Linked DNA regions of Mus musculus. The protein of the gene in region 2 purifies or fractionates together with the protein of the main gene of each other region. This does not show direct contact. Links are inferred from orthologs where the notes say so. Each region holds a gene or a part of one and is shown on either strand. Other genes may lie near its edges. The genes, in order: Dnm2, Dnmbp and Bin3.

Evidence for each region.
Region 1: the proteins of Dnmbp (region 2) and Dnm2 purify together in Homo sapiens (co-immunoprecipitation; 3 studies listed by BioGRID and IntAct, with this or other methods). This does not show direct contact. The link is inferred for Mus musculus from reciprocal best matches to the Homo sapiens genes DNMBP and DNM2.
Region 3: the proteins of Dnmbp (region 2) and Bin3 purify together in Homo sapiens (co-immunoprecipitation; 5 studies listed by BioGRID and IntAct, counting the BioPlex papers as one, with this or other methods). This does not show direct contact. The link is inferred for Mus musculus from reciprocal best matches to the Homo sapiens genes DNMBP and BIN3.

Annotation. Positions count from the first base shown.
Region 1 is NC_000075.6:21,501,317-21,504,957, reverse strand, and holds part of Dnm2 (dynamin-2), read right to left. Parts: intron 1,417-3,641; coding exon 1,252-1,416; intron 529-1,251; coding exon 296-528; intron 1-295. UniProt on the Homo sapiens protein: Catalyzes the hydrolysis of GTP and utilizes this energy to mediate vesicle scission at plasma membrane during endocytosis and filament remodeling at many actin structures during organization of the actin cytoskeleton.
Region 2 is NC_000085.6:43,937,324-43,941,735, reverse strand, and holds the start of Dnmbp (dynamin-binding protein), read left to right. Parts: upstream 1-1,537; 5' UTR 1,538-1,619; intron 1,620-4,412. UniProt on the Homo sapiens protein: Plays a critical role as a guanine nucleotide exchange factor (GEF) for CDC42 in several intracellular processes associated with the actin and microtubule cytoskeleton.
Region 3 is NC_000080.6:70,098,893-70,102,987, reverse strand, and holds the start of Bin3 (bridging integrator 3), read right to left. Parts: upstream 2,896-4,095; 5' UTR 2,800-2,895; coding exon 2,792-2,799; intron 1-2,791. UniProt on the Homo sapiens protein: Involved in cytokinesis and septation where it has a role in the localization of F-actin.

The DNA.
Region 1 (3,641 bases), on a different chromosome or scaffold from region 2:
TGGGCTTCTTGCTTTTGCTTTCTACTTGGACCCACGGAGAAAGCACTAGAAGATGCAAGAGTTGGTGGAGAATTGGGGTGTGCGGTTTTCTCCTCCAGAGATCTAGCTCAGGTTGGCACCTGGAAGCCATGGCTCCCCTGTGGCTTTAAGCAGAACAGGTGTTGTGCCATTCACTTAAGACTCTTGTCCCTTTCCAAACTTCAGCTGTGAACTATTTCCTAATGGGACAGAAGGAATAGGAAGGGTGGGGCTTGAACTTGTATATGCACATTGGGGGACAAACTGCTGTCCAGACCTGTGGCCGCTGGTGTTTTGGAGCCACGTGTCATCGACCGGTGGGGGCACGGGTGTGGACACGGTGCTGGTGCTGATGTCCCCAATAATGTTGAGGGCCTCCTTCAGTGCGTGGTACATGCGCAGCATGTCGTCCCGCCGCTGAGCCTGCTCGGCTGACTCTTCCATGAGGCTGCTCTGGTCTGCTGATGAATACAGGTAAGCCAGCAGCTCATGGTGGATGAAGGCCTTTGTCTGAGGACAGTGGTGGGAAGGAAAGGTCAGACCCCTATATTAGCCAATAACTCAGAAGCCTGTTGAGATTGGGAAAGCATCCATCACAGACTGAGTGAGAGTCAAGTTTAGCTGTAAAGCTTCTGCCTAGAATCTCCCAGGGAAGGAGCTGAGGTGCTCAGTCATTCAGTGCTTGCCTAAGAATCACCATGCCTTGGGTTCAATCTCCAATACCACAAAAACCAACCAACCAAACCAACCAAGCAACCCACCAACACACCAAGCAACCCACCAACACACCAAGCAACCCACCAACACACCAAGCAGCCCACCAACACACCAAGCAGCCCACCAACACACCAACCAACCAACCTACACACCAACCACCCACCCACCCACCCACCCAACCAACCAACACACCAAAACCCCAAAAAGCTACTAAACAAACCAACTTGTTCTAACTTTGCACAGCTTTTTAAAATTAGGTTTGCTTTTAAGTTAACAGTATGTATTGACTGTGTGTGTGTGTGCACGTGCACGCGCGCCTTTACCTTCTGACCCCCCACCCCTCCCCCCGTCTTCCCCAGTTGTCATTGCTGAGACAAGGTCTCACAGTGAAAGCCCCCTACACCGGCTGAGTATCTGAGAGGATGGTGGACTTGTGACTCTCCTGCTTCCACCTGCTGGTGCTGGGCTGACTGGCATGCGGCTAGGATCTTTGGTGACTTGGAAGCTGTCACTCACGTTGTTGATCATGAGGTGCATGATGGTCTTTGGCATAAGGTCACGGATGGACTTGTTGATGATGGCCACGTAGGAGTCCACCAGGTTACGGATGGTCTCCACCTGTCGCTCCAGCTGCGGGTCCATGGAGAAGGTGTTCTCTTGTGCTCCATCCTCATTCTCTGCCTGCAGAGGACACAGAGGGGGATGGTTCACTGTGCTGGGCCTACCCTGCTGACAAATGCCCCACCTGAGTGTGTTCCAGATGGCCCTGGTAGACCTTGTAGTCTGCACTGGGGTAACACTGGTTAGAGCCGGGGGATGAGAACACAGCCTCCCTTTGGATGGCCAGGGTCTGTAGTGACTTCACCCCAAGGACAAGAGGGAAAAGACAACAAGGTGGATGAACCCTAAGTGCTCTTGCCGTCCTCACCATGGAGAACCCCTTCTGGAGAACTTCTGGACCCTGATGACAACCCATGCCTCCTCCGCTTCGCTTGACTCAGTGGGTACCAGCTTGGTGCCCTCTGAGGTCTGAAGTATGCTGCTATGGTTTGAATATGGGATGTCCCTAGGGCTCAGGTGTTGGTCCCTTGAGTCTCAGCTGACAGTACTGTACTTCTGATTTTTATGTGTACATTGGTATGGTATGTGTATATGCAGTGTGTGTGTGCAGGTGTCCAGAGGCCACAGACAGCTGTCAACTGTCATGTGGGTGGTGGGGACTGAACTTGGATCCTTTGAGGAGTAGCCATGGCTTCTGTCTGCAAAGCCGTCCTTTTAGAACCATACTACTGTTACTTGTGAAGCTCTGAAAACTTCAGGCTGGGGGAAGTAGGCCACTAGGTGTGTATCCCCAGGGATACCTTGGCCCCAGCCCTTTCATGCCTTCCCCTCTGCTTCTCGCTTCCGCACCTCAATACCACTGCCATGAGACAGCCTATACACATGGGACCATGCAGCCATGGACTGAGCCCTCTAACATTGGGAGCCAAACTGAACATTTCTTTCCCTTGGTGTGTAGCAGGTATTTATTCACTTGTGTTTCATGTATGTACCTTATGTGCATATCACCCTTACACATTGTGTGCATGTAGTCTATCCCAACTCAGTGCCTCAGAACTTTTATGTTTACTCTGTCTGTCTGTCTGTCTGTCTGTCTGTCTGTCTGTCTGTCTATGAATGAATGACAGGTTCTACATAGTCCTGGCTATCCTAGAGCTCACTATAGAGTCAAAGCTGGTCTTGAAATGGGATTAAAGGTGTGCATCAACATACCAGGACCTGTTATTACATTGTATCCCAGGCCTTGTAGCATTCAGGAGGCAGGAGCAGATAGATCTGAGTTTAAGGCCAGCCTGGTCTACAGACTAAACTATAGGCTAGTCAGAGACACACCCTAAAAACAAAACACAATACATTTTGAGACAGGGACTCTCACTGAATCTGGAGTTTGTAGGTTTTTCTAGGCTGTCTGGTAAGTGGGCGTTAGGGATCCATACTCCCCTTTTCACCCCAAGTGTGTCCACTTTGCCAGACTCTGCAACAACTATAGGCACATACGCTATCTGCTGTGTCTGGCTTGTTATTAGTGTTCTTTTAGATTGACTTTTGAGTCGGGGCCTCTCACTAGGACCTGGAGATCTCTGCTGTGCTATGGCTGGCTGGCTCCTGAGCCCCAGTGTGCACCACCACACATAGCTCCTGACTGAGTTCTAGGGCTAACATTCAGGCCTCATGCTATCACCTAAGCCATCTCCATAGCAAAGAAAAGCTGACTTGACACGCTTGGCCTAGAAATCACGGGTCCCTTCCTCCATGCAGGGTCAGCAGGGAAGGTGTCCCTTCACCTTTTCCTTCTCTGGGTAGACCCCAGCGCGCAGGAACCCCCTCACCTGGTCCTTCTCTGGGTAGACCCCAGCATACAGGAACACTTCACCTGGTCCTTCTCTGGGTAGACCCCAGCACACAGGAACCCCTCACCTGGTCCTTCTCTGGGTAGACCCCAGCACACAGGAACCCCCTCACCTGGTCCTTCTCTGGGTAGACCCCAGCACGCAGGAACCCCTCACCTTTTCCTTCTCTGGGTAGACCCCAGCACACAGGAACCCCTCACCTTTTCCTTCTCTGGGTAGACCCCAGCACACAGGAACCCCCTCACCTGGTCCTTCTCTGGGTAGACCCCAGCACACAGGAACCCCTCACCTTTTCCTTCTCTGGGTAGACCCCAGCACACAGGAACCCCTCACCTGGTCCTTCTCTGGGTAGACCCCAGCGCGCAGGAACCCCCTCACCTTTTCCTTCTCTGGGTAGACCCCAGCACGCAGGAACCCCCTCACCTGGTCCTTCTCTGGGTAGACCCCAGCACATAGGAACCCCTCACCTTTTCCTTCTCTGGGTAGACCCCAGCA
Region 2 (4,412 bases):
GGTGTGGCAGTGCTCACCTTTCCCCCAGCACCTGGAGGTGGAGGCAGAGGCAAATGGATCGCTGGGGGTTTGAGACCAGCCTGGTCTACACAGCAAGGTTTAGGACAGTCAAAGCCACATAAGAGAGAGGAGACTCTGTCTCAAAAGAGAAAGTAAGTAAGAAAGAAAGATAATAATACCATTATCTAGGTAGTAGATTGTCATTTTACTTGAAAGGGGGAGAAAAGCTTACTGTTTGACAGGCCGCTGAAGCATTTGATCAATTTCTTTCAAAAACAAAAATCTGGAATATTTATGTTTTACCACAAAAATGCCTTCCTTCAGTGTTCAGACAGCAAAGGAGGAGAATAATGTATGTGAGCAGCAGTTTCACCCCTAGGTACAGCCTCCAAAGAACTGGAAGCAATGGGTCCAGCAGATACGTGTACGATTTGGGTCCTAGCCTTAGCCACAGTAGCCAAAGGGGAAACTCCGCCGAATGCCCAGTGAAGGACAAACGCCTAAACACAACGCAGTATATTTAGCAGTAAAAAGGAAGGAAATTCCGACACATAGAACAGCACAGATGAAACTTAGGGCATTATTCTAACCAAAATAAGGCAGGCACCAAAAGGCCAAGTATTGTAGATTGCATGTATGAGGGTCTTCAGAGTAGACGAATTCTTAAGGACACGAGAGACTAGGAATCGCTGGGAGTGGAGTCCCTGTACGATAAGAGCAGTTTCAGTTTGGGAAGTTGGGGTCCCGGTGCCGGACAAGATGATGGATGCGTAGCAATGTGAATTTACCTACTCTGATGGACTGCACGCACACTTGACAATGGTTCAAACGATACACTTTATGCTATGTCTAGTTTACTACGATTTTTGAAGAGTCAAGAAACAATCTAGCTGATGAGATTTTAAAATAAAGCCTTATCTCTGCTGTGTGTGCATAGTGATATATGATTCCTGCATTCCTCAAATCTGCTAGGTCGGTCCCCGCGCTTGCACCAGCTCCTCCACGCACTTGCGATCTTTAACAGTCAGAAGTCTTCCGGGACTTTTCAGAAACCGGGACGTTTGGTTCTAGTATTCTGTGATTCCTTGCTTTTAAATTCTCAAAATTGTCCTGTGAGACTTTGCTCGGGAGAAAAGAAAAAAAAATCGATGAGGAGTGGGCAGTAACCTGATGGTGTTCCCCTGTAATCCAGCACTTGGAGGAGTGAAGGACGATGGAAGGTTCAAGGCTAGCCTCCGCCTCGGAGTAAGAGAATTCGCGCAGCGGAGAATTTGAGTTCTCTAGGTTGGCGGTAGCGCGAGTGCGTGGGGATCTGGATCCTAGCCTGAGCGAGGTGTGTCGCTAAACGCCCCCACGCAGTCCGTGCCTCAGTTTCCCTGAAAGGCCCTGGGAGCCCGAGCCCTGACGTGGCGGAGCGACGGGCTAGGCGGCCGCCAGGGGGCGCGAGCGCGGGAAACGGAGCCGGGGGCCACCGGACGGAAGCGGCGCTAAGGGAGGCGGGGCGGCGCGGAGTCACCCGGATCGGCCCGCCCGCCCGCCGCCGCTGAGGGGAGGTGACCGCGGCCCGGCCGGGCCACCAGTGGCTGTGCGCGGAGGGAACGCCGAGCGGCAGAGAGCAGGTCGGTGCGGGGCCGGGCGTCCGTGGGGTGGCGGGGTGGTGGGGTAGCGGGGACGGTCGCCTGCGGGGCGCGCGGGGCTTGCGGCGCAGCTCTCGGTCGCGCTGAGCTGCGCTCCGCGAGACGCGAGGCCCTCGCTGTCTTCACTCACGGCCGAGGGGGTGCAGGGGGGGGGGGGCAGCAGCCCTAGGGACCGTCCCGGGGCGCGGACCGGGGGGCGAGGTGTCCAGCCGGGGCGCTGTCACTGCGCCGCCCTGCCTCTTGGCTTTGAGTTGAAGAACTGAGCCCCAGTCCTGCTCCTGGTCACTGCTGCAGCTGGTGGGCATGAGAGGCCGGGATTTCGTGACAGCCAGGCAGCGATGGTTTCCCAAATAACCCGGGACTATTTATATTTAGCTGGAGATGCAGTTTTGGCTTACTGGAGTTTTTAGGTACCCAGGACGATTGCATGCTTGTGTCAGAGGAGGATGGTTGTCACTCGAATAAAGGGGTGTTGGGGTGACCGGACAGGACAGCATGTGGTGTGTATTAAGAGCTGCGAAGGGTGTTTTTAGGGCACAGGGTCGTGTTGAAAAACCAACTTGAAAAGCAAGGTCGCATGTGGGATTATGGCTGGCAAATTCTGTAACCTGTCTGACAGTGTTTCTTTTATAGTCTTGGGAGCACCTTGTGGAACTTCCTAATTAATAATGGTGACAAGCTAGTGATGACACCGATTCTCTGGTAGGAGCATAGTTTGGACTCCACTGTGCTTAGTCGAGTTACATGCCGCTGATAGAGCTGACTAATCAACAGGCGATTTTTGCAGCAAGCAGACCTGATTTCTCAGTTAGGGCTGCATTTATAAAACAGTCGTAGGAAAAGCATAGTCGAGGTGTAGTGTTCAAGTTAGTGTATCCATCGGGCCTCATTCCCCCTAAACTACTGAATCTCGTGATCTCTCAGGCCCTTCCACCGCTAAAGTCTTTCATTTGTATTTGAAGCCGATCCCTCCTGGTGACAACAAAGTCCTAGGAAAACAAAGTTAATTTTACAAATTATGTAGCAGATGTTCAACTTCACTGTCGCTCCCCGCTCCCCCACTCACATAATATTGGGTTGAAATGAGTGAAACCTGTTGTGTGTGTGTGTGTGTCATTCATGTTTCTGTGTTAATGTCACCCAATGGCTTGTCTAGACAGAGATCTTGGTGTGTAGTGGGGAAGTGCTAAGTCTGGCATGGGAGTGACTTGCATGTTGTCACAGGTAGTTTTTCCAACAAGCCAAGAACATTTTGACTCAAACTGTGCTAACTTTTAAGCTAACTTTTATCACATTGTGTATGGTTTGGGCTGGCGCGTGATAGTAATCTTTATAGATGCTGTTCAAATATGTATGAACTATTTGTCCTTTAACCCACAAAGTAGGGCCTCCTAACCTCTTCACCCCCTCTTTTCTGGCACCGAGCTCCGAGCATCCCCTTAGCCTGTGAGACCCTCTTCACATTCCTCCTTCACCCACGTGGCAGGGCGGGGCCTTGCCCCACTGAGCTTGCTGTACCACAGGATGCTCTACCCCTGCCGAAGGGTCAGGGTCGAGCAGACTCTGTTCTGAATGTTTATCTCGGTGTTTCCAGAGCAGAGCTCTTTCCCTGTGCCTTAGAAGGAAGCGTTTTTTCAGCATGCTGCCTTCCAGCGCTTCAAGTTCATCACCGTTCCCAGCCTTCTGGGTCACTTTGCTCTGTACAGGGCTAAAATAAATGCAGAGTCGTATTTTAAGCTACAGATTGCTTAGTCTTAAGTTGGGCAGGGTGGGAAGGCACACTTTTAAAAGTGATTCAAACCGTTTACAAGCAAAGGCTTGCTGCCTACCAGCAGTTACAAAGCTTGGCTTATTTTTCCAGTTTTTTTTTTCCCCGACTATGGGACAAAACACAAATCAGTTAGCATATTGCCTGTGACTTTGCTACTATTTCAGGATCCTATGAGGCTCTCAAGCAATGCTGCTGTTGTTGTTGTTAATAAAACACTCTTGAGACTCATTCACTCCTCAAAAGTTCCATGTCAGTGAATGTGTAATTTTTTATTATTATTATACCCAGCCGTGAAAGCATCTCAATAAACTAATTTTCAAGACTAAATAACTCAGTCTTGCTTTTGGGAGTTCATTATGAGATAGCTTCTCACCTGGAGAGCAGGATCCCAGCGATAACCACACCACCCCCATCCCAAATCCCCCATCCCCCATGAAAGAACTATTTTATATACTGGGTGCTAACTTAGCTGCTTTATCCTTGGTGTTAAAAAGAAAGCCATAGCTGGGCGTGGTGGCGCACGCCTTTAATCCGGCGCTTGCGGATTTCTGAGTTTGAGGCCTGCCTGGTCTACAAAGTGAGTTCCAGGACAGCCAGGGCTACAGAGAAACTCTGTCTCGAAAAACCAAAAAAAAAAAAAAAAAAAGAAAGAAAAAGAAAAGAAAAGAAAAGAAAAGGAAAGAAAAGGAAAGGAAAGGAAAGGAAAGGAAAGGAAAGGAAAGGAAAGGAAAGAAAAGAAAAGAAAAGAAAAGAAAAGAAAAGAAAAGAAAAGAAAAGAAAAGAAAGCCATACTGCCTGGTGCGGTGTGTGGTGACTCAGGACTTTAATTCTTTAAACTCAGGTGGATTTCTGTGAGTTTGAGGCCAGCCAAGGTTACATAGTGAGATCTTGTCTTAGAGAGAGAGAGAGAGAGAGAGAGAGAGAGAGAGAGAGAGAGAGAGAGAGAAGCAGCCACAGGGTAACTAAAATGAATTATTTCATCTTTGGCTTTGTAAGTCTTTTCT
Region 3 (4,095 bases), on a different chromosome or scaffold from region 2:
GTTTTGATACAAGGTCTCACTGTGTATCTCTGATTGGTCTAGAAGTTACTTTGTAGACCAGTTTGGCCTTAATCCCTGGTGCTAGAATTAAAGGTGTGTACCACCATGCCCGGCAATTACCTTTAGTTGTAGTTCATTTTCACAACATACTGCACTGAATACACAGTTATGCAGAAACAGGTGGAGCAGGGGTGAGGACAAAGTGGGGAGCGTGTGATTTGGGGCCAAGAGGTGGACTAGTGCTCTGAGAGGCAAATATCCAATGCTTCCTTCCAAATCGGGCAGACCACTGAGTTGCCTTGCTGGAAGGCTAATGGGTAGGTGGGTGGTGGTAGTGCAGGTACTCACTAAATAAACAGGGGTTATGCAGGCTGCCTGCACAGTGAAAGAAACAAACAAAGACCTCTTACTCTTCCTGCAAAGTCCACAGTGTGCAAAGGGCATCAATATTGGACATTTCTCACTGTGACATTTTGAAAGGACAGCCTAGTCCAGAACAATGGATACCCTTTGGGCACCACGGACCACAGCAGCCTCAGGCCTTATTTAACTAGGCTTGGCCTAGTCCATGTACTTGGTGAACTTGACCTTGGGCATCAGCCTCCCATGATGGCTCTACGTCACTCTGGTCTCTTCCCCTAGTGAAAATTCCAATCTCAGATGAATGGATGGATTCATTCTGGGAGCAGAAAAACCACGCTGCGAGTGAGTCAGAAGGACCCAACTCTCGTTCCCCTGCCAGCCATTGAGCTAGGAACTGAGTGCGATTGTGTGCCCAGGCACGGGCGTTGGTCCCCTCTCTGGGAGAGAGGGTCAGGGTCCACGCAAGAGATGACGTAGAAGCCCTCGAAGCAGGAAGAGAAATGGATCTCTTCCTTCAGGGACAAAGCCATGCTTTTGGTTGTGACCCTCCGTCCAAAGAGGCACTAAGATGTGCTTGTACTGGCCAAGTAGTTCATGACAACCTCAGCCCTGTTAGTGGCTGCCAATTCCAAGTCTCTCCAACCTGATGGGCTTTGTTGGAAAATGGTTTGGAAAAAAAAATGCTAGTTTTCAAGAAAAGGAGGAGGAAGAGGAGGAGAAGGAAGAAGAGGAGGAGGAAGAGGAGGAGGAGCCCATTCAGAGAACCAACACCTCTAGTGGCCTCTGTTCCACTTATTCTATTTTTTTTTTTTAAAATAGAAATGTCAGTCTAAACGGAAAGCACCTATACTTTCTTTTTTATTTTTAAAAATTAGGCAAGAGAGATTCAAAGATTCAAGGTGCATAAACCAAGATGACTTCTAGCATCATGAAGCTGGAGGTACACAGACTGATGCTTAAAAGAAACGACTCTGCTTCAGGAGATTTCCCTTTAGCAAAGGGAACTGAGGAAGTGCCCCTTGACCTGTCACTAGCTAAGCTGTAACAAGATGGGGAAGTTAGCTTTTAGGGGTTCCAGCTTTCTGTGGGCCTCTTGGAGGAAGAGGTTGAGGGGAAATGAGTATCTCCTGCTGAGGCTTATTAGAGCTTCGCGGGTGTGTGTGTGTGTGTGTGTGTGTGTGTGTTCTGTTCCCTGCTTCTCCAGCTGTCTGACATTTGTCCACCAATTAACCTCAGTCTGAGAAGCAGGTGGAGGAAGGGGCAGAAGTGGTTTACACTGTACATTAGAAAGCTATCCTTGACATTGACTGACATTAGCTGCTTGTGGCGAAAGCTTGGTCTCCACTGGTGGTCAAGTGTGAAAGCCTTCTCAGAGGGTGTCTAGCTAATTTCATTCATTCATAGCTGATTATCATGCACTTATTTTGCATAACAGACTGGGCTCTGAGCAAGTCCAGCCCCCTACATTAATGCACCTTGGGATCTAAAGAGGGCTGATTAATCTCATACTTCCTTGGAGGCCAATTTATTCATACAAATGCATTGTAAACAGTTAGGAGTTTGAGTGGGGACCATGGACACACAGGCTCTTGGGCCTAATGGTAAAGACATTGACAGCCTTTAAAGAAGCCCTAGGAAGACAGAAAATTTATGACTTTTCATCTGCACGTAAAAACAAAAACAAAAACCCCAGAGCAACAATTAAGGACCAGCTTTTGGGGAAAGAGGACCTTCCACATTAGGCTAATCACAAACAGGAAGTATCCACCGTGAGCTCCCCCCACCCCCATCTGCAGCTGTGACATTCCAGCTCTATGGCTCCTTGGTTTGACGATCCCCATAAAGTTTAAGCTATGTCTATCTTAGAGAGAGGGCAGTGGGGTCACAGCCCTGGAAAGATTCAAACAGTCCAATCACACATTAAATGTGTGTGTGTGTGTGTGTGTGTGTGTGTGTGTGTGTGGTGCAATTCTGATCCTTCCCATGTGAGAATCAACTTTTACATTTTTAAAAAGAATTTCGTCTTTTGAGGCACTGTTAGGTGATGTTATTCCAGTTGTCTGAAAGCAGCTGGATTTTGGTCACAGAACTGTGCCTAGTCTGCCTCAATGAGCAACACAGCTCCGGAGCAGATAAGCGCGGTGTAGAGATGCCCACGGGAGCGAAGGAGGACACTGACTCCACCTCAATGGATAGCTGAGAGAAGAGGGAAGAGGGACTCCTCACGCCAAGGAGGTGAAAGGAAATGCGATGGGAGAAAGGGCAGGCAACAGGGATCAGACGCGGGTCCAAGGCTAAGGGATCCTCCTCGGGAGTCTGGCCGAGAGATGGAGCCTCCGGGAGAGCACCGAGGAGGCTCCCGGAACCGCTTAGGAGCAGGGCTGTCGGGCCGCCCTGGCTCCAGCCGACGCCACCCGGCCTCACTCACCAGCTCATGGTCCTAAACCCACGCCGACTGCCGGGGTCCTCGGTAGAAAAGTAGGTTCTCGAGGATCACTTCCGGATTCGGCCAGTCTCCAGGAAGTGATGAGGGACACGCCCCCTTATGCCCGGAAGAGGCGGGAGGGAGGCGGGCCCACGCGTTAACACTTTGTTCTCTTGTTGTTTGAGGCGGACTTTCTTTGCGGGACGTGGTTGCGCTCCGGCCCTGCTTTTAAGGCTCTGTGCGTAGAACCCATCACGGGCTGCAGTTTCTGTCTGATATGGGGTTTCTAACTCGGAGACACAAGCGGCGACAGGGGAAGGAGCTAGAGGAGACACAGTAGACGGGAAGCTTGCGCTTTGCTCTACACACTTTCGTATTGAAAATGTTGCATGTCTCACCTACATCACCTGGGTCCCCTCCCCCCTCTTCAAGAAGGTTCGGGGTTCGAATGGAAACAGAGTTAAGTGCTTTTCAGGGTGGACTAGTCTGTGAAGCTATTCAATGAGGGAAGATTCAGAAAGCCCGGTGTGATGACAGACAGGTATCTGCAATCCCCGAATTCTGGAGGTTGAGGCAGGGAGAGGTCATGAGTTCGAGGCTAATGTTGACAACATGGCCCATCTGGGCTTCACAATCAATCCAGTCTTAAGAGAAAACAATACACCAAAGCCTAGCAAACAAAACAACAACAACAGGAGTAGAAGGCCTCGGCAATGTTAGGAAAAATCCTAACAAGTTGCTGGACAGGCTGTTAGGGGCCCCTGGAGCTGTGCATGGGGTTTTAGAAGAATAAGATCTAAGCAAACAGCTTGCATTGGGCCTCAGAATTCAGAGCCCCAGTGTACCACAAACTACCTAGAGTTATACGCTGAACCGAGTTTCTCTGCCCAAGTTCCTGCTTTAGAAGCCAGAAACTCAAGCAGAGAGAACCGTTCCAATCCTCTCTCCTGACCTCTCTAGGACTTCGCTTTCTTCAAATGTACCTGGAGGGTTGTAGGCACAGCCAGGGGAGCAGCTAAGTCCCTATGACCTAGAGCAGAGGTATATACAACGTGTCCCAAATTCCCAGGGCCCAGGGGCTCAGAGGAGGAGGAACAAGGGATGGCTTTTAGTTTTAAAAAGGCTTTCCAATAGGAGGTGGCTCCCTCAAGACATGTCACAGACCATCACCATGCTATTTCTTCAGGAAATAAGTAAGCAGGAGCAAAGGAGTGGTCTTGAAGAGAATAGAAGACCCAGAATCCTTGACAAACAGCTGAGGCAGAGAGCATGGGTTGGGAGAGTCTTGCAGCTTTGTATGGGGTGAG